Linked DNA regions of Arabidopsis thaliana. The protein of the gene in region 1 interacts with the protein of each later gene in a pairwise test. Each region holds a gene or a part of one and is shown in the gene's direction. Other genes may lie near its edges.

Evidence for each region.
Region 2: the proteins of SIC (region 1) and RBP45B interact in a two-hybrid assay, tested with the Arabidopsis thaliana proteins (one large-scale study listed by BioGRID).
Region 3: the proteins of SIC (region 1) and AT5G25490 interact in a two-hybrid assay, tested with the Arabidopsis thaliana proteins (one large-scale study listed by BioGRID).

Annotation. Positions count from the first base shown.
Region 1 is NC_003075.7:12,655,012-12,662,081, forward strand, and holds SIC (hydroxyproline-rich glycoprotein family protein), read left to right. Parts: upstream 1-3,421; 5' UTR 3,422-3,545; exon of another isoform or gene 3,546-3,615; intron 3,616-3,710; 5' UTR 3,711-3,720; coding exon 3,721-4,033; intron 4,034-4,553; coding exon 4,554-5,200; 3' UTR 5,201-5,656; downstream 5,657-7,070. Other genes in the region: RGTA1 (RAB geranylgeranyl transferase alpha subunit 1), read right to left, coding at 319-707, 779-950, 1,130-1,310, 1,392-2,141, 2,260-2,364, 2,452-2,612, 2,702-2,864, 2,977-3,092; CER2 (HXXXD-type acyl-transferase family protein), read left to right, coding at 5,918-6,364, 6,708-7,070. UniProt on the Arabidopsis thaliana protein: Involved in miRNAs and siRNAs biogenesis and thus promotes gene silencing. Modulates auxin (IAA) transport-related developmental programs by regulating protein phosphatase 2A (PP2As)-driven auxin efflux carrier PIN proteins recycling and polarity.
Region 2 is NC_003070.9:3,911,209-3,919,628, forward strand, and holds RBP45B (RNA-binding (RRM/RBD/RNP motifs) family protein), read left to right. Parts: upstream 1-3,565; 5' UTR 3,566-3,686; coding exon 3,687-3,947; intron 3,948-4,219; coding exon 4,220-4,685; intron 4,686-5,812; coding exon 5,813-5,871; intron 5,872-5,958; coding exon 5,959-6,089; coding exon of another isoform or gene 6,090-6,093; intron 6,094-6,207; coding exon 6,208-6,304; intron 6,305-6,529; coding exon 6,530-6,733; 3' UTR 6,734-7,035; downstream 7,036-8,420. Other genes in the region: AT1G11620 (F-box and associated interaction domains-containing protein), read left to right, coding at 1-716; AT1G11630 (Tetratricopeptide repeat (TPR)-like superfamily protein), read right to left, coding at 1,960-3,177; AT1G11655 (uncharacterized protein), read left to right, coding at 8,130-8,420. UniProt on the Arabidopsis thaliana protein: Heterogeneous nuclear ribonucleoprotein (hnRNP)-protein binding the poly(A) tail of mRNA and probably involved in some steps of pre-mRNA maturation.
Region 3 is NC_003076.8:8,873,924-8,880,315, forward strand, and holds AT5G25490 (Ran BP2/NZF zinc finger-like superfamily protein), read left to right. Parts: upstream 1-2,397; 5' UTR 2,398-2,613; intron 2,614-2,709; 5' UTR 2,710-2,715; coding exon 2,716-3,137; intron 3,138-3,325; coding exon 3,326-3,416; 3' UTR 3,417-3,451; exon of another isoform or gene 3,452-3,636; 3' UTR 3,637-3,981; downstream 3,982-6,392.

The DNA of each region.
Region 1 (7,070 bases):
TGTAAATTTTGTAATCCTTGTATGTTGTTGTATGCCATCAAAAGTTCAATTAAAAGTTGATTGGTAAAACAAGAGGAACAAAGATCAAGTTGTTTACATGTTACTTGTTATCGAACCAAAACCAATATTTATATAGGTAGATTCAGTCTGAAGAAAAATATTCAGATTTTTAGGAAATATCAACCCAAATTTGGTAAATAAAGGTCATCAATAAGATTGCTAAGAAATATCACAACAACAAAGATCATCAAGATAACCTAAATTGCTTTGGGAATTTGATGATCGAAAGGTAAAGTAAACAAAAACTTGGCCTATGATCTAATTCCCAAGTTTCTTCTGGCCATCGAGCCATACAAGCTTTGGGACAACCTGGAGGACAAAAGAGCTGAATTCCTCCCCTGCAATTTCATTTCCTGCTATATCTAACTGTTTCAGATTCAAATCTGTTAACACGCAATACGCATCCCAGTACTTCGTAACCAATCCAGGATTCTGTTTTCCTACATCATCCTGACCCAACTCTGAATTAGAGAGCGGTGAAGAACAAAGGTATCTAGTTGTGTCCACTGAGTGCTTGCCAATGTGGTTATGTGAAACATCCAACACTTTCAGCTGCTTCACATGTCTTAGAGAGTCCAGCGCTGAAAAACTCCGGATTCTGTTGTGACTCAGATTTAGACAAGAGAGAAGTTGCATTGCCTCCAATCCTGCAAGACCAACATACACCATTTAGTCACATTTACCACACAGATGCAACATCTGAAATCGAGAAACTTACCTTCAGTGGAATGAAGCTCATTGTGACTAAGGTCTAACATTTGGACAAACAGCAACTTCTCAACAGAGGCTATCCGAGATAGTGATAAGTTATTTAGCCGTAGACATACAAGATTGTTCATATCCCTATATCGCAAAAGGTGTCTTGACAAAGATTCACTGCTTGAAGTCACCTGCATGAACATTCTCTTTATGAGTAGTAGGCATGATGAAACAGAATTAAGGAAAAAATCTAGAATCGAACAATCAACTTTATACTGTAGACGAGAATCGGGGAAAATCATAACTCCGATGAAAATTTTAATAGCAAAAGTTTAACATAAGATTCACAGCAACAAGGAAGACTAAGTACCTTGTGGAGAAAAGCTTTGCTGTGCTCATCCTTGTAGTACTGGTAGTGTGAAGAATCCAGCGCCATCAAATCGTTATACAGCTGAAGGATTTCTTCATAGTGAACACCCTTGACAGCATCATCCGATACCATAGCTTCACGAGCCATCAAAAGCCTTGCAAGAGTGAGCTTTCCAATTTTGCTATAAAGGAAAAAATAACACAACGTTTAAGACTACAATTTCTCTTTCCAATCAAAGAGAGAAAGTATATAGGATATATACCTGTCAGGCAGTATACCGAAACATTCAACCTCAGAATCTATAGCTTCCTGACGCCATTTAAAATCCATCTCAGCATTTAACCGATCCAAGGTGACAAGAGAATTCAAATCCTTTGACTTCGCATCCCAAATATCAAATCCATCCGTCCATGAAACAATGCCTTCTTGAGAATCTTCGACGGTATCATGAACATGGGCTGTAAAGACAAACTCATAAGGTGCGTTGAAGTTATATCCTCTGGAAGAAACGATTCCTGGAGAGTTCCCAACTCTGATCTTCACTTTGTATTCGCAAGGATCTGAACTGACATATTTCAGACGAGCAACCCATACACAGGACACCTGAGAATTTTTGTTCGGAATTGGTTCCCAAACAAGGCCCTCGTTTCCTTTTAGTTCAGAATCAATTGTAACAGTAGATGAGCTTACTCCACCAACAGCTTGGTCAAAGTAGAGAATCAGTGGAAAAGAACCCGACTCAGAACAAAAAGTAGTGAACATAGATGAAGAGCCACTCAAGCACCCAGCTCCAGACAGAATGATACTTGAACCATGTGAAGGCCATGAGGAAGTGAGAAGAGGAGTCTCCACATTAAGAGTTTGGTCAAGAAGCCAAAGATGATAAAACCAGCCACTTTGGTCATCTGGTTCCGTAAAAATAGCCGAATGTACAAAGTCATATTCCTCAGGAATCTTTATATTTGGCATAAACCCATCAGCATTTTGTGCCAACAAACTTGATAGAAGTACACTGCAGAATGTGAACAAAAATATATAGTAAAGAATATGCATACCTACGATTATGCTAAAAAACTATTTCTGAACATGTAAATCAGTAAAGTATAATATATACTAAAGAATATGCATACCTACGATTATGCCATGCAGAATAGTTGCTGAAATTGTTATTGATCATATCATCTGTATACTGCAACTCATCCTGTTCTGATCTGTTGGTTAGCTCTACAACAAACCTGGAAAGGAACAACACATTAATATGCAAGCTTGATTAACATACACAATGCTCCTTTCAAAAAGTGTTGACATTCCCTAATTTTCACCTGCGATAGTTCCAAGCATGAAAATTTCTGGAATCCAGCTTCTGGAATTTTTCCAAAAGTCTCAATTCATTCCCTACGGATGAATGCCCTTTACTCAAAACCCACTTTCGATGATGCCAAGCACCATAGGACTTGAAATTCTGCCTCAAAGCACTTTCTACCTGAATTTAGAACCGACTTCACAGTAACTAATAAGCAACTACTTTCATAAAGAGCAAATTCGTTTCTTTTAATTGACAGGATAACTCACCACTCTGAGTTCTTCATCAAGAATTGCGCTGACCAAGTTTGGATCAGGCTCAATTCTGGCAAGGCGATCCTCCACAGCAAGCTTCCGGTAGTTCCATGCGGTGTACGCCTCCGGATTGATTTCTAGAAGCTTCGTGCTTAACTCAATAGCTTCATTGGTATAACTAGAAACCAAAAAAGCAACAAATGATTAGTAAATAAACAAAGGATCCTTCAAATCGTACTAAAAATCTGGGAAGTACACTGATCCGATGGAAATGAAGGAGAAGATTGTACATTTTATCGTGATGATTCGTCATAAACTGAGACTGGAGAGAGCGAAGCTGAACAGCTTTAGCAGCTGAAGCTGCTTCCTCTTCTGGCTTAGAAGCATTCCTTGGACGACCGTGCATTCTTCTCCGACGACTGTGAGAGATGCGACAGTGTGATTCAACTTTTCCGGTTAAATCTGATCAGAAATTACGAAAACAGTTAAAACAAACACTAGATCGAGGAAAGAAAAAACGTGATCCAAATCTAGAAACAACAGAGATGACGAAATGGAGAATAAGAAGCAGATCACCTGAAAGGAGCACGTTGCGGCGTCGATCGAGAGAGAGAGACTTTTGTTTTCGGGCAATTGAGCGACTGAGAGAAGGTTCTATCGGAAAATTTAATGGGCCGGTTTAATGATTTCAATCGCTTAAACCAGTAAACCGGGTTTAATTGAAAAATACGGTCGAACACTAACCCGGTTTTGGAAGTCTTCGTTTATGTAGTGAAAGGCTTCGTCATCATCGTTGTTTCACAGTTGAAGGTTTTCACGAGAAAGTGAAGATTTTTGGAGAAACCATACTTTTGTGAAGGTTCGTTTCACCTTCAATTTCGTTTTTCCAATTTGGGTATCCGATAATTGTAAGAATTTGGGGTTTTAAGGTCAGATTGATTATGTATCTAATGCTTTTACATTGTAGTAGCTCGTGTTTTGGATTTTGAAGGATTGATTTCTAAATTTCCTTTTGATCTTGTAGTTGAATCACAATGGAAGATTCAGAGAAAAGAAAACAGATGTTAAAAGCAATGCGAATGGAAGCTGCAGCGCAGAATGATGATGATGCTACTACAGGTACTGAAACATCTATGAGCACAGGTCACCTCTCCAATCCATTGGCAGAGACATCCAATCACCAGCAGGATTCATTTGAAACGCAAAGGTTTGATTATTATACCGATCCCATGGCTGCTTATTCTAGTTTCAAGAAAAACAAGACCCCTAAGCAACAATACATCTCATCTCCTAGTCATCAAGGAAGCTCTCCTGTACCACCTCAGTTTCCACCATCAGTTCCTCCAGGTGCTTGTTTCTGCCTTGATAGTCAATGACTCTGTCTTAATTTTTGTTTTGTCTATATTCTTGTGAGGCCAAAGAAAGTAGTCCACTGATAAAGAAGATTGCCTAATATCATGAGAGTTTAACTTACAGTATGTTAGTTGGTCCTTGGTGAGTATAGGTATAGGATTGAACAGAATCAGGAATTCACTTTGGTATTTGGTTGTTGGGCTTTCGTAGAGTTAGGTGATGATTCTCTTCTACAAATCTATATGAAATTTTTGTTCTTTGTTTGGGTTTAGTCATGTGTTCTTGATTATAATCTACAAATCAAGATCAATGGAGGAAGAAATTTGTCTCTCAGTCTCAGGCTTCAAACTTATTAGCTTTAGCTACTTTAATTTGATATATCTCTTTAAGTTTCACTTTCTAGGAATTGACAGTATGAAAATCACATCAATTATGGAATTCAGTTAGGTTTGTGTCCTGTGCCTTGCAATGAACAGTAATCCAGTTCTGATCCTTGCATTATAACTTTGAACAGGATCATTATGTAGTGAGTATCAGGCACAGACCAATCATGGTGGCTTTCATGCAGCTCATTATGAACCAAGAGGGATGGCACATCTTTCACCCTCACACAGAGGTCCACCCGCCGGTTGGAATAACAACTTTAGGCCTCCACCAGTTAACCATTCAGGTCCACCTCAATGGGTACCTCGCCCTTTTCCATTCTCTCAAGAAATGCCGAACATGGGGAATAATAGATTTGGTGGTCGAGGCAGCTACAACAATACTCCTCCACAGTTTTCCAATTATGGACGACAAAATGCAAACTGGGGTGGAAACACGTATCCTAACTCAGGAAGAGGCAGAAGTCGAGGACGCGGTATGAACACAAGCTTTGGGAGAGATGGAGGAAGAAGACCCATGGAACCAGGGGCAGAACGATTTTACTCCAACTCTATGGCTGAAGATCCATGGAAGCATCTTAAGCCAGTCTTATGGAAGAATTGCTCAGATGCTTCGAGCAGCAGCTCAACAGGTCAAGCCTGGCTTCCCAAGTCTATAGCACCAAAAAAATCTGTGACCTCAGAAGCTACCCACAAAACTAGCAGTAATCAGCAGAGCCTTGCTGAGTACCTTGCTGCTTCTCTAGATGGTGCTACATGCGATGAGTCAAGCAATTAATCAGGACAACTGGCCTAGTGAAAATACACCAAGTCCAAGCATCTGAGGTACCTGGAAAGATCACCGTTGACTCTTTCGAACTAGGTATTGTTCAGTGACTTGTGTTTATTTTCTTAACAAGACACAACAGCGAATGATGAACATCTCTGAGGGCGCAATTAGGAGTAGATTGGTTGGCAATAGGGATGTTCTCTACCAAAAATTTTACTGTTTTTTCGCAAGATTTAGTTATCGTACAATTATGTAAAATCATTATCAGGAAATTTGTTGCATGATTGTGTTTGAGGTGGAAATGAACCGCATCCGTATTAAGATCATTTTTGCTGGTGGAAACAATGTTACCAGGAAACTGAACTTGGTTTTTTATAGATTAATGTGACTTGTTAGGTACCGTAATATAATACTAGTTGGCTACGACACGTACATGTGCGTTTATTGCTTGAAGCCAATAAGGACAAGGTGGACGTAATAAAGTGTGCTTGTTGTTGGATGGATCTGAATATGATGACTCAACTGTCCAACTCTAATGTTGTTGCTAAAGACCCAAATCCCACCCACATTTAATGTTGCCGTCACGGAAACAGTTTTCCCAACTGTCCTAAATCAGTGATACCCATGCCTATTCTGAACTCAACTCTCTTTCGAAACTCAATCCTTATATAACACATCCCATTTAAGCCTATAAGCTACACATATCAGCTCTCTCACAAAAATAAAATGGAGGGAAGCCCAGTGACCAGTGTCAGGCTCTCTTCGGTGGTGCCTGCTTCTGTGGTAGGTGAGAACAAGCCACGACAGCTCACACCCATGGACTTAGCCATGAAGCTCCACTACGTCCGAGCCGTCTACTTCTTCAAGGGTGCACGTGACTTCACTGTCGCCGACGTGAAGAACACCATGTTTACTCTACAGTCTCTACTCCAATCTTATCACCACGTCTCAGGTCGGATCCGGATGTCCGACAACGACAACGACACTTCAGCTGCAGCCATACCTTACATTCGCTGCAACGACAGTGGCATACGCGTGGTCGAGGCCAACGTCGAAGAGTTCACAGTGGAGAAGTGGCTCGAGTTGGACGACCGTTCCATTGACCACCGATTCCTTGTCTACGATCACGTTCTTGGTCCTGATCTTACCTTCTCGCCACTCGTTTTCCTCCAGGTAAACACACATACACAAATTTTAGTATAATATAATGGATTATTTAAGTTCACATGCAACGAAAACGGCTGATTCTCCCACGAACTTAGTTTCTTTCTTAGTTACTAACTATCAAACATTCGTTTCAAATTCTTTCCAATCATTAGCTTAATTAATAATTATGAAATGAATATTTAATATAACCGTGGAACTTGAAGAGAAAATATTTTTTACATGTGAAATTGATTCTTCACTATATATGATCAGGTTAGATTCTGTGTGTGTGTGTGTGTGTGTTTTTTTTTTGTCCAAATCAGGCTAGCTAGAGTAAACTAAATTTTTTACTTTGAAATTCGTTTTTCAGATAACTCAGTTTAAATGTGGTGGGCTCTGTATTGGGTTGAGTTGGGCCCATATTCTTGGAGACGTGTTTTCAGCATCAACGTTCATGAAAACACTTGGACAGCTGGTATCGGGTCATGCCCCAACAAAACCGGTTTACCCGAAAACCCCCGAACTAACCTCTCATGCTCGTAATGATGGTGAAGCTATTTCCATTGAAAAGATAGATTCGGTTGGCGAGTATTGGTTACTTACCAATAAATGCAAGATGGGGAGACACATTTTTAATTTTAGCCTCAACCACATTGATAGCTTGATGGCCAAGTACACCACGCGAGACCAACCTTTCTCGGAGGTTGATATTTTGTATGCATTGATATGGAAG
Region 2 (8,420 bases), on another chromosome or scaffold:
GTCAAAAGAGATGGATTAAATGTAGCGAAGGGTTTGACCATTCCATGGACGCGTATGGTCTTGGATACCTTTTTAACCAATCATCAGGTTTTTATGATTACAAAGTTGTAAGATTTCGTTGTGGAATTAAAAATTCATCAAGGGTAGAAGTCTACGCATTCAAGTCTGATTCTTGGAAGGTTGTTGTTGATACAAACTTTGGTGGATTCGATGGATTGCCATTGTCAAGTGTTTGTTTGCGAGGAACTCCTTATTGGCTAGGTTACAATAAATCTGGTAATGAACTCATGTCGATACAGAGTTTCGATTTCTCAAAAGAGAGATTTGAGCCCTTGTTTCTTCCTCCTCAATCCATTGGGTCACGTAATTTGGTAAAGTATATCTCTTTAGGGATTTTCAGAGGAGATCAACTTTCTTTGTTACTTGAATGCCACGAAACATGTAAGTTACACTTATGGGTGATGAAGAAGCAGCATTGGAGCAGGCTGATGACAGTTGATGTACCTCAAGATGCGATATATGGAAAATATTTCAGTTCCTTCATTGAGAGAAATGGTAGGCTTGCATTATTGATCAAAAGCAGGAATATTAGCATCTACATTGGGGGAGAGAATCAAGAATTCAAAAGATTTGAATACTTCACTGGTCTTGGTCCCATGCTCAGTGATTGCTGCTATATTCAGAGCTTGCTTCAGATTCCAGGCTTTTCGAGATGAGAATAAGAACAAAGAAGCTGGCTCCATTGTTTGGAACATTTTCGGTTTTTCTTTTAAGGATTTCTCAGTTTCTATCTTTGGATATTTTATGTTTTTTTTTTACTTTCAAATTCAAGAAACAGATAGGAATTACATTTTATGAGTTTGAATCTGATTTAAGTTCAACGGTTGAAGTTTACTCATTCAAATCTGATTCTTGGAAGACGGCTGTTGATAAGACCTCTAATGGTTTATATTGATAACCATAGTCGAGTGTGTGTTTACAAGGAACTCCTTATTGGATAGCTTACAATAAGTCAAATCATAAACCCGTTTCAGTACAGAGTTTTGATTTCTCAAAAGAGAGATTTGAGCCCTTGGTTCGTCCTCCTTTTTATCTTTCGAGTGAGTTATCTTATTTGATGAATAATCTTTCTTTAGGGATTTTCAGAAGAGATCAACTCTCTTTGTTACTTGAATGCGGCTTAACAAGTAACATACACTTATGGGTGAAGAAGAAGAAGAAGAAGCTGCATTGGAGCTGGCTGGTGGCAGTTGCTATAACAGATCGGCTTCCGATATATGGTTGTAGATATTTAAGTTTCTTCAATGAGAAGAATGGTAAGCTTGTGGTATTTATCGAAAGCGGGTATATTAGCATCTACATTGAGGGATATAAGCAAGATTGCCAAAAAGTTGAATACAACACTGATATGGGTCGTACACTCGGTGGTTGCTGTTATGTTCCTAGCTTGCTTTGGCTTCCGGGCTTTTCAGAGGTGGGTATAGGTAGAAGAAGAAGCTGGTTCCAGTATTTGGAATGGCTAGATATGATGCTTTTATTTTTTTGTTTTGGAGAAGAATGTAAATATCATTATAATGAAGAGTTTTGGTCTTACATAAGCTTAACCTGATGGACATTTTCATGAAGCTAACATGGTCCCATGCCAACAAAAGACATTCGAGATTCAATTCATCAGCAAGGCCATGAAGCGATTAGGCTCATCGTTTCCGATATATTGAAAAATGTTACATTCCATTTATATACAACATGTTCAAAAAAATTCAGTAAGAAAATTGATAATTCACCAGCACCAATCCTTAGAGAGATAGCTTCTTAATCTCAACGACAAGATTCTCTTCAAACTATATCCCCTTTCATTTCAATTTTGACAGATGATTTCAGCTAAACTAACCAATCTCAAAAACTTCAAATCCTCATGTCAAATCGAAGATGAATGACTTCTTCTATGTGTACCTTTGTTCACTGAGGCAAAGGCAATGCAGCTTCGACTTCATTCCACAAGTCCACATTTCTGGTAAACTTCTCTTTAACTACCGCAATGAGCTCCTTTGCTTCATCGACCTTTGAACGACTTGCTAGTCCATTAACAAGCCACTTCATGACACTAAAACTCGGAACCCAATTCTTCTCCATACTCTCTCTACAAAGGATCAAAGCTGTCTCAAAGTCCCCTCCTTTACACAAACAATGTATCAAAGTGAAGTAACATTCACTATCAGGCTTGTATCCATTACACACCATAACCTCAAACAAATTCATAGCTTCATCCAAATTCTCCTCACTGCAAAACCCATGAATCAAAAGCGAATACGTCACAGAGTTTGGTCTCATCCTACAAGACATAACCCCATCAATCAACGCCTTTGCTTCTGCAGATTTCTTCCTTTTACACAAACATTGAATCATAATGTTGTATGTAGCTACACCAACATGAACACCAAATTCATCCATCATTCTCATCACTTTCCTCACTTCATCAAACTTCTCCTCCTTGTAAAAACCATCAATCATTAAACCAAAGCTAGCAGCTGTTGGCTTTATCCATTTCCTCTCCATCTCTGCAACAATGGAGTATGATGAACTCGTTGAACCTGATTCACACAAGACTCTAATCATTCTATTGTAAGTTTCGAGATCAGGTTCAATGCCATACATCTTCGGCATTTCGAGGTAGACACGATTCGCTTCTTTGTAATCCTTAGCCATTAAACAAGCGAAAAGAAGAGCATTTAGAGACTTCACCGTCCTTGGGATCTCGTATTGCTCGAGGTTGCGAAATGTTTGTATAGATCGATCAAGCATATTCGCTCTGCCGTATAGGATAATGGCACGGACTGCGAAACTCTCGGATTTTGGATCGGGTTGGTTTTGGATGAAACCGTCGAGAAGCTGCGATACAGCGACGAAGTGTTTCTCTCTCGCTAGTGTCACCACCGCAACGGAGAAGATGATACGGTCGACGTGATAATCAGGTGAGAGTGAAGTGGATCGGCAGATTTCGAGGATTCGATCAGGATTATTCTCGGATTTGAGAAGGGAGAGAGTATCTCGGCTCTTCTTCTGCTTGCTAGTGAGAGATTTTAGTGTGAAGATAGATGAAGAAGAAGACTTCAATCGGAATTGAGTCGCTTTCTGGAGTATAAATTCCGATGTTCGAATGCGGAAGAGGAACGCCATTACTAGGGTTCATGATTTCCCCGAAGAAATGGAGACGACGGCTGAGAGAGAAGAGGTTTAAACCGGTTTAGGGGTTTGACAAAATAAAATTTTTAATTTCAATGGTTTACTTAAATCATATACATAATTCATATCATCCGTTGATTTTATGACTAGTCAGCAACTTGGACGGTTCCGATTGAATCTAGGATATTTTTTAAAAAGTTAAATAAAAAGTTAAGGATCATGTTTAAACCGGGGGTTTGAACCCGACGTGAATCGAACACGCAACCTTCTGATCTGGAGTCAGACGCGCTACCATTGCGCCACGGATCCCTTGTGATTACAAGCACCAAAGGATATTTATATAGTAAAACACATATCGTTTTATTACAAACCGCCGCCTTCTCAAAGGGTTATCAACAATCTCTCATCTTTAGCATTGTTTTGTTATCTTCTTCTTCATCACAATTTTTCTACGGTCAGAGATTCAAAAGAGTTCTTTCTCTCTATCTTATTCTCCGATCATCATGATGCAGCAGCCACCACCCGGAGGTATCCTTCCACATCACGCTCCTCCTCCTTCTGCGCAACAACAGTACGGTTACCAACAACCTTACGGGATTGCTGGAGCTGCTCCACCACCACCACAGATGTGGAATCCTCAAGCGGCGGCGCCGCCATCAGTTCAGCCTACGACCGCTGACGAGATCCGGACTCTTTGGATCGGGGACTTACAGTATTGGATGGATGAGAATTTCCTCTACGGTTGCTTTGCTCATACCGGAGAGGTAATATTCTCAGATCTCTCTGTTTTCGCTTTATCGTTCGCGCTTAATTGTTTGTTCGAAGGAGATTAAGGTTAATTTGATAAGTACTTGTTAGTGTTAATTGTTTCCTCGCTTTTATATTTGAAAGATTTGATTTTGATGTGTAAAAAGATTAACTTTAGATGTTTGAATTTTTTTTAATATGTAATCTCTTTCCGACAATGAGTTAATGAGTGTTCTGTCTAGTTATATAATGACTAGTTGGTTTAACACTATCAGTATTTATTTTGCAGATGGTTTCTGCTAAAGTGATTCGTAACAAGCAAACCGGTCAAGTTGAAGGATACGGTTTCATTGAATTCGCATCTCATGCTGCTGCTGAAAGAGTTCTACAAACATTCAACAACGCTCCTATCCCGAGCTTTCCTGATCAGCTCTTTAGACTGAACTGGGCATCATTGAGTTCAGGAGATAAACGAGACGATTCACCGGACTACACGATATTTGTCGGTGATCTGGCTGCTGATGTTACGGATTATATCTTACTTGAGACGTTCAGAGCCTCTTATCCGTCAGTGAAGGGTGCAAAGGTTGTTATTGACAGAGTCACTGGACGTACAAAAGGATATGGGTTTGTTAGGTTTTCTGATGAAAGTGAACAGATCCGTGCTATGACGGAGATGAATGGCGTTCCTTGTTCTACTAGACCTATGAGAATTGGTCCCGCTGCTAGCAAGAAAGGTGTAACTGGTCAAAGAGGTAAAGTAAAGTATATGTCACATTAGAACTGATTTGATCTTGCATTCTCTTGATTTGTGTGTTGTAGTATCTATGTGATTAGGTTGCCTTAAGTAAGAACTAGTTAACTGCCTTGTGCTAAGTATGACTCCATTACTTTTTCTAAAGCCGCATCCTACATTTACCGCTGAGGCCGCAGTCAATTCTGTTAAAAAACTTAAAAAGATAGAAATCTTATAGAACACTTGTTGTATCCTGTTTGTTTCAAAGCAGGGGAGTCAAGAGGCTCTCTATCATCTTGAGGCCTGGAACTGATATTCAGCTGAAATGGTTATCTCCTTATTGAGTGCCCATGCTTAGGTCAGTTTTAAAGTTCATGTGTTGTCCTTTATTAGCCCTTTCCTTCGATTCAGCCCTACTTTAATTTCCATTTATCTTTTCTATACAAACCTTTATTCCAGTTCTTGGTCAGTTACTTACTTTTATAAGTCGATTCTTATGTAATTACTTTTCTATTTCATTCCGCTCTACTTAAAGTTCTTATCTTTCACTTGATTTACTTATATCTTTAGTACATCAAGCTCTTTTTTACTGTTTTTGTGAGTCTAGATGATAGAAGTTCTATCCTTAAGTTATGAGATTTGGTCAGATGTGACAGTTTCTGGAGTGGCCAGAGAAATAGTCTATACATTGTTTCTAATTTTTTCAGTATTGACCTTTATAATCCTCTATATTCCTCTCTATAGGCATTTCATTTAGTTTACCACCTTTATCTACCCTTGAGTAGTCAAAAACCTTGGGTGAAATGTGATGCAAATGTAATTGTTGCTCTCTACTTGCTCGTTTTCTTGCGGTTGCAGCTCCTCAGATCCTTTCTCAATGCTTGTTGATGGAATGATCCTATACGTATAGTTTATGATTGATGTTAACATCACTGATGCCTTCTTTGAATACTATTCTCCTTTTGGAGTTTGGGCGGTGTGTTGTATATGTGTGAATGCCTTCTTTGCATTTGCTTTCATTTTGATGTGAATATCTAGATGAGGCTGCAAAAGGCTCCCTCATAGTTTTCCAATCACTTTGTTGCATGTGTAATTTACAGTGACTTACTACTTCCATTATACCTGTGTTTTTTCGTGTAAATGCAGATTCATACCAGAGCTCTGCTGCAGGGGTAACAACTGATAATGATCCAAATAACACAACTGTGGGTCTTAAGCTCCTATTATATATTTGTCCCTCTCGGTTATCTTCCAAAGCGGTTATATCTGACGCATTTTAATTTACTGTACAGGTTTTTGTTGGTGGATTAGATGCATCTGTCACGGATGATCATCTGAAGAATGTCTTTAGCCAATATGGTGAGATTGTGCATGTGAAAATACCCGCTGGAAAGCGCTGTGGATTCGTTCAGTTTTCCGAGAAGTAAGTCTGCTGCTACTACTGGAAGCTCTGTCTTTCATTTAACCCTAAAATAGTCTTTGGAATAGAATTCTAATAGTTTTTTTTATCATGTGTTTTGTGACCAACCCTCACTTTTCAGGAGCTGTGCAGAGGAAGCTCTTAGAATGCTGAATGGAGTGCAATTAGGCGGAACAACCGTCAGGCTCTCATGGGGCCGAAGTCCTTCGAACAAACAGGTAATTGATAATCTTTACATTGACATTAGATGATAGAAAGAAACAGCTCACAGTGTATCGCCTTTTGTCTAAGAACTATCGCAGCTTCTCTCACCGTGTATCGGCTTTTGTTCTAAGAACTATGTAGTCCAGGCTATTGTTTTAGATGATAGCAGAATCGCTTAAAATAGTTGAGTTCAAGTAGCTTTTTATAATCTGAAATGCTTTTTTGATATTGGTTTCCAGTCGGGGGATCCGAGCCAGTTTTACTACGGTGGGTATGGACAAGGACAGGAGCAGTATGGGTACACGATGCCTCAAGACCCTAATGCATATTACGGAGGCTACTCTGGTGGAGGATACAGCGGTGGTTACCAGCAGACACCACAGGCAGGACAGCAACCACCACAACAGCCACCACAGCAGCAACAAGTCGGGTTTAGCTACTAACCCCGAGAGTATTGCTTGAGTTAATGTCACTCTGCTTGTTGTTTGCGTACTTTGTTATGAACTTGTTTCTGCGTGCCTTGTTATGAATATTTTCCCAAACACAGTTTATTTGTCTTTGCTTTTCTCTAGGTGTGTGTTGAGTTTTTAACTCTTAATAATGTTTCTGCGATGCTTCTGTTTTTAATGTTTTCATCACCTTTTGAAAGAACGTAAGCGTTGATTATATTTTAGGGTTATGTGTTTATTTTTGAATGTTAAAAGAGTGGTCGATGAATGATAATCACCAGAGATCTTGAGCACAACTAGGCTCCAGCTTTAGAACAGTTGGAGTCTTTAGAGGTCTATGTAGAGGCAGTGTGGTATACGTCTCTCAAATCTCAAGTTGAACATTTTACATACTATGAATCTTGGAGTCATGTATGTATGGACTCATATCAACAGCTCCAAGCTTTGAAAAATATATTTAAAATAATTGTCTTGACCCGTTGTCCTAACCAAAGGACACATAATAAGGAGAATCTTGATTAATTTAGTAGATCTTGCAAATCGTTGTCTTATATCTGAGACCAAAAATTGTTGGCTCCGAAACAATATTATTATTTTCTCAAGTTCATAACGTTATAGACTTATAGCTTTTTCATAACCGAGGAAATTAGAATTCTTTCATTACAATAAAAAGAAAAGTCAGCGATTTTTCCCCTGCTAGATCAGTAATATTCCTAAATTATGTCCATTAATTGAAATCATTATTCATTAATTATAAGAAATCTATCAAAAAATTAAGAACTCAACAAAACTATTGATTAATGGTTTTTCCGACATGGACACAAAGGTTAAAACCAAATTCCACATATGTATTTTTGGGCTGCAAACTCGTAAATTAAAATGCTAAAGTAGTAAATGTTATCTTATACATGTAAGTACTATATATATATGACCTCATTTTTGCAAACAAATAAATTAAGATATTTGGACGGCAAGCTCTTAAATTTAAATGTTTACAGTCTAAGATGTTATCTTACAAATATATAAACTATATGACCTCATTTTGCATAATTAAATATGAACAATGATTTTTATATACAGGCATTAACTATAAGATTGTTAGCTGGAAAATTCATACTATCTTATATATTATCTTAATGATTTGACTTATAATTAAGTTTAATTGTCCTCTCTTTTTTTTTGGCCAAAAAGTTTAGTTTCTAATAAGAAATTACATAACTTGAGAAAAAGAAAATAAGAAACACGTATACAAGCTACAAGTTAGTGCACCAGCACTGCTCAATGCAATGACTACAAATACTTGGTCATTTCAACTCCTCTCCTCATCTCTCTCTGATCACACTACCTTCTCTTCCAAAAGTCGTCGCCGGGAAAACACAAAAAGACGAAAATGACCCTATTCAAGAGGCCATGTCTTTACTCAAAGATGGACAAGGAAGATCCAGAAGAGGTACTTAGCCGACGAGCCAAGTTCTTGATTTACAAAACACTTCAAGAAGCCGACTTGATTTCTCGGCGTGATCCTCATTCGTCGTTTATACGGCTGAAGCTTTATCTGTTGAAGGTCAAGATCGGAAAGAGGTTGGCTAAGCTACGCCGGAGTGTAGTATCCGCCGTTAGATTTGGCGGAATTCGAAAGCATTCTCATAATGGCGTGAGAGCGTTGAAGAAGATGTTCCAA
Region 3 (6,392 bases), on another chromosome or scaffold:
TCGTCCTTGCGAATGATCAAATGCATAGATAATTGTATCATCCTAAATAAAAGACGTGGGGAAATCATATGACATCTAGAACTTTGGAGAAGGGGGAGATAAGTGATGATGCATGGAAGCATTTCCCAAAGATAATCGAATAGATTCTCTCTTTTCTTTTGTGTTCGTCAGTTTTTCTTTACCATTCCCCGAGACAATATGGTGGGTTTATTAATTATTTTGATTCTTCTATAATTCTTCCCATTATTTTTATATATTCTTTTTAAGTTACCCATTCTTTTTTCTTCAATGTCGAGACGTCGAGTTAGTTAGCTTTTACGGCGACTTATGGATAAGGCATTACGCTCGGAGCCATGGACTGAGTTGGATAGATATAATGCGTATAATATTTAATCCCCATAACCTATATTTTAATTCCTATACATTGTAATGGTAGCATCTCAACTTTAAGGTTAGAGTTGGAACCTTAAAGTTTATGAATATTACAAAACACTTGTATGGGGGTGGAGTGCATGAAAATTAGAGCTGGGATGTATATATGGGAATATATATGCACTACATTATCTTACATTTTACATTGAAAAAATATTAGAAGATATTGTTCTTCATTTATTTAAGTATATTTTTACTGCTGGTGTATTCTACTGCCCTATATATATCTCGAAAGTTAAATAAATTCATATGTTATATAACTTTTAGTCATTCGTGGCATTCTTCTGTTACATCTTACTGTGGATTTTTCGTCTTATTATCTTATAGCTGACTCTTACTTTAGAGAGACAAGTATACCACAATGGAAAGGGTGATTTGACGGTAAAAAAAGCGATTGCAGTGTACCCACAAACGACAATTTATAATTTGTATGTGGGATATATAGTAAGGGAAATAAAAATCATAGGGTTAAATAGAAAAAGTGAATGAAACTGTCTTGTAGTTGTAGTAGACGAATCAAAAGGACACGTAGATGGTCAAGATACGAACCTCAAAGCCTTTTCCCTCCCATTTAATGATTCTTGTTTTTGTTTTAATCTATAATTTTTCATGATTTTCTTAAGTCTTTGTTTTGAAAATCACGAACGAATAAGTTCTGATGGATGTACTTGAATATTAGTAACAAGACTAATTGAATTAAAGAAAAGAGAAGTTATTCCTTTGACGTTTATAATTTTCCGCGGCTAAGGGAACATATACGTTCCTTGAAACTGTTGCCATGCAACTTTTGCTTTAACAGTTTAGAGAGTTTTTTACTTCATGCTACATCCTTTTTCTCCTGACACACACAAGAGCATATTATACATCCATGTACCTCCTCCATCGACCATCAATATATAGATACATGTGATTATTAATTATCTACATAAAAAGTTATACCACGAAGTTGCGATTGATAATATGAAAGTGGTACATGCTCGAAATAGATAATGAGAATATATCAGCTTTAGTTGTCTCATCGTTAGTCAATCTATATGTGCATATACAGTTAACAAGAAATCTATAAGCATATACGAACTGGGGTCCCAATAAGGTCTAAGAATCTTTTTTTTCTTTTTTTCTTTTCTTTGCTTTGCTTTAGTTTAGTTTGTGAAATTTAGTGAAAATTTCATTTTGTCTCATAGAGAAACCACATGTTAGTCAAAAATTATATAGTAAGTCCAAGAAAACTATATTAATATACCCATATTACCATATAGTCGGAGATTTCTAGTATCTCTAGTTTAGTTCTTCTTATTCATTATCAATTCAAGTGTTATAAAACCTCGAGACCAATAAAATAGGATTCACTCTCCTTCGTGCCCCCAAAGATATAGGTTTACATATCTATATTTCCACACCACCATTTTAAAAGCAAGAGTTAATTAAAGAGATATTTTTTAGTCATCTTGGTATGTAATCTGGTAAACTTTTTAGTTTGTTATCTTGTATAAACAACCAGTAAGATTTTGGTTCTTTTGTAAATACTTCTCTTTGAATTTAGGACTAGTGTTTTAAAATTACTTTCCTCCCATATTTTTGTTTTGATCTTTCAATTTAAATTAAAAGTTCGTTTACAACCCATGCATGCACACTTCCGAATTTAAACTCGGATTATAATTTGGCACTATAATAATCTATTAGAATACGTCTTGATTAATTTTAAAATATTTAGGTGTCTTAAAATAAGTACGTACGTTGATAAATATGGAGATATATACATCTGTCAAGTAAATGGTATTGAATTTGCCAGTATTAGCTTTTGTGAAGCTGACGCAAAATGAAAACGGCTGATATCTAAAGCTTTAACCTTGTGTTTCTTTTTTTTGTTTAAAATAGTGGGGTCTAGAAATGATAAATTAATTTAAAGTCCTCGATATATATAAATAGATAAATTTGTTTCTTTTGGGAATAACGTAGTTTACGGAGAAACCCAAATGTTAAAGGGAAATGCATTAAAGCTGTAGCAAAATAAGAAAGTAAAAACCAATTGAAACCCTAATTTCACTTCAAAAAATGTTCCCGGTTGTTAAAGGAAGGGCCTTTTGCTTTGTCCATATAAATATATTGTGAGAGTACAACAACACCTTCATAAGCTCTTACACTCATTTCAACTCTCTTTTTCGTTTCCATTACCCTCAGGTAATCATAACATATATATAAGTTACATTTGTAGATACATATGTCTTTAGTTTTGTGTAATTTGTTACTTAATTATTATTTTCTATGGTGTTGTAGAAGAAGATGAATAGGCCGGGAGATTGGAACTGCAGATTGTGTAGCCACCTCAACTTCCAGAGGAGGGATTCATGCCAACGTTGTAGAGAGCCTAGACCGGGCGGGATCAGTACCGATTTACTCAGCGGTTTTGGTGGCCGTCCGGTTAGTAGCTCCTTCGGTTTCAACACCGGGCCCGATGTGCGACCCGGGGATTGGTATTGCAACCTTGGGGATTGTGGGACACATAATTTTGCCAATAGGTCCAGTTGTTTCAAGTGTGGTGCCGCAAAAGATGAGTTTTCATGCTCAAGTGCTGCTGCAACAACCGGGTTTATGGACATGAATGTTGGTCCGAGACGTGGCCTTTTTGGTTTTGGCGGCAGCAGTAGTGGTGGTGGTGGTACGGGCCGTTCTCCTTGGAAATCTGGAGATTGGATTTGCCCAAGGTACTTTTTTGTTTGATTGTTTCTATGTATTGATGTTATTTTTTTGCAATAATATGTTTTGATGGTTAAAACTTAAAGCCAAAAAAGAAACATGCATGCTGGCTTACGTAAGCTAAACACGACCGTTTAAATTGTATTAATGTATATGCATATCGTAGAAACTGATTGGTTTAATTTGTATATTATAGGTCAGGCTGTAACGAACATAACTTCGCAAGCAGGTCAGAGTGTTTCAGGTGTAACGCACCAAAGGAACTTGCCACCGAACCACCCTATTAGTCATTTAGTCCTCCTACCTTCTTCATCATTTCCAAGTACTTTTCGTTTCAACAATAGTCTTAACTTCTGATCAGAAACAGTTCGACATATATATTTGGATGATAGAATTTGTTAACATTTACAACTTTATTATATCGTAAAAGTTTAAATAGTAGTGTGAAATACACTAACGATAGTACTTTAACGTTAACGTACGTATCTTTTTGATTATTTTTTTTAGTACTCTGGAAGCATTAGAGGAGAGCAGAAAGGTGAAGAATCGAAGCAAGATACCGACCGCCCTTAATCTCTTGATTTGTTTAATTTCTTAGATTTGACTCGTTTTATATCTCGTAGTAGTCAGACCTATGTTAGAATGTAAGCATGTCGAGAGTTTTCCGAAGCATTTTGTTCTGATATCGGTCTCCTAGCTAGTATGTAAGTTTGTTTGAATGTATTCTTATTTCTGATAAAGTTGTTTCCTTCTGATTCCGCAATCACGATTCTCATCTAAGTTTGAAACACTTGAGTTGTTGAACGTACGAGAGGCTGAGAGCTGTTGAGAACTTCTTCTGTGGCCGCAAATCCAAATTGCATGCAAATGTTATTATATATGCAATTAAAATTTTGTTATATAATTTGTAGTAGGAATGTAGTTTTACGTTAAACCAAACACAAACTCTAGTAACCGTTTGAAATGGGTAGATGCATGGACCACAACGAAACCTTTTGTCCAATGCCTCAAAAAAAAATATGCATGAGCATTCATATTATGATGTGGCTTGGTGATAATGAGCTTACCACCAAATCGAATGAAAATGTATGAGTTCCACTCTAAAATGAGAATAGTTATCAGAAAATATTAATTATGTTATATATCATTAATTAGTTTAGAATTCTAATTTATTTTCTTGGTAACATTAAGTTGCAAAATTAATTTTAATTAAATACAAATACGGATTTCACTATATATTAAATTGCGTATTCAAGGCCATCTTTTCGCACATACATTCGAGCAGTCGAACAAAACCCATAAGAAGATTTTTGCAATGAAGTTTTGTCATAAACAACAATATTGCAACTGATCGATGACCGTTTCCTTAATTGTTTGTAATGGGTGGTATACTTAAAAATTTGTTTTCAAAATGTAAGTAAGAAAGAAAAAAATCAGTAACGCATTTTTCATATTTACCATTCAACTTTTGATCCTGCTTATTTTTGTACTGTTTGTTCCGTCTCGCAGTACTAATTAGAACTACACTTTTTTTGGTCAAAACACTAACTACATTTTTTTTGCTTGATCTACTACTCAATATATTTTTGTTTTTATCGCTCGTTCTATACTGCCACGTACGATTGAGACTCTAAAATAGAGCAAGCGTACGTTGGTACGTGTCCACACACACGTTGCATTTTGCATAGGATTCCAATTTACTGAACTCATGGAAGTGTAGTTAAGATTATCATCAACGGGTCAAAAAAAAAAAAGACAACCAGTCTTTAATGTCTGCTACTATAATCCATTGCTTAGCTTTTATTTTTTCGTTAAAGGGTTGCACTAATTGGCTTTTTACTAAAGAATCTTTCGTTTTTCCCCCACTTTGAAGTCAATTCATCATTTGATTCTTCTTTGGTTTTAGTGAAGTGAAAGTACGTCTTAGGTATGATTATCATGCATGCATCATAGTGAACGTCTTCCCACTTTGAATTTCAAAACTATCAATTATTAGATTCGATTTAGATATGAATATATAATAATAGTATTTCAAAATGCATAAATTAGGTTGTGAATTGTAGACGATAAAATACAACCAGCTTAGTAATCTTCTTCTAATTATCAAATATATAGCATAATTCCTAAATCATATGTTTATTCTCATTAACTAACATAGTAGGTAATTCTGTTCATATGATTTAGCTAAATGCACGGTTTCATAATCACCTAAAGATCCATAAGCAATCATCAAATTACAATTAGTGTCAAACTAAGCACTACTTAAAATTCAGTGTTGGCGGAGAATAATATAAGACACATCTAATTACAATGGTAAGGATAGATGTGTGCAACAGTGCAAGTATATGTATAGCTTTAATCATAACTTATTAGTGTTTCTTTTAATGAGCAAATGAGAGAGACTTGTCGATGACCAATCTAAGTAAAGTGTACATCACTTGTTAAATAAACAAATATATTCTTACTGTTAAAGTCAATTTTTATAACAAAAGCAATAGCAAAGATAACTTTTTATCCATTTCAAAAACACCCTTACACAACGCTAATAAATTCTTAAATTTTGGGAAAAATTGCGGTAACTTTTATAAAAGTTTTAAAATTTATCTTTAACCCACATAAAAAAGCAAAGCATGTTCATCTTTCTAAGCCCTTTTTTTCTTAGCCCTTCTTTCTTTTGTTTCACATTTCCACATTCTTCCTAATAATTTCTATCTTTATGCAAAGCACACAATTGACATGGATGGAGCATATGCATATGTATTTGATGAAAACTTATTTTCTGGTACAGTATAATTCCACCAGAAAATTGAAGCCTCCACACGAATATTGTTTTTTTTTTTTTCTTTTTTTTTTACAAGATGTGATATACATAATGATTTAAATTTGATTGGTGACACGTTAACGACACTAAGACAGATTGTGAGTTTCCACGTGAGTTTGTTATCAAAGTATTTGTTTAACATTTGAGGACTCAAGATTCATATTCTAACATTATCAAATACTATTTTCTTACATAAAATGAAAATATCACCTATTGTTCAATTAGGAAAAAAAAATTGAAGGAAAAAGAAGATAATTTAAAATACTTTTAAGTTGGAATGCATGTAGATTAAGATTATTAAAAAATTAGAAAATGGCAAAAATATTTAACCAATAAACGGTGGTTCAGTGATTCAAAAGTTATTCTAAGATGGTACGAAATAGAGTTCACATTTTGTCATTTGTTTTCTATCATTGTTGGTAATATCGTGGGCATTTTAACA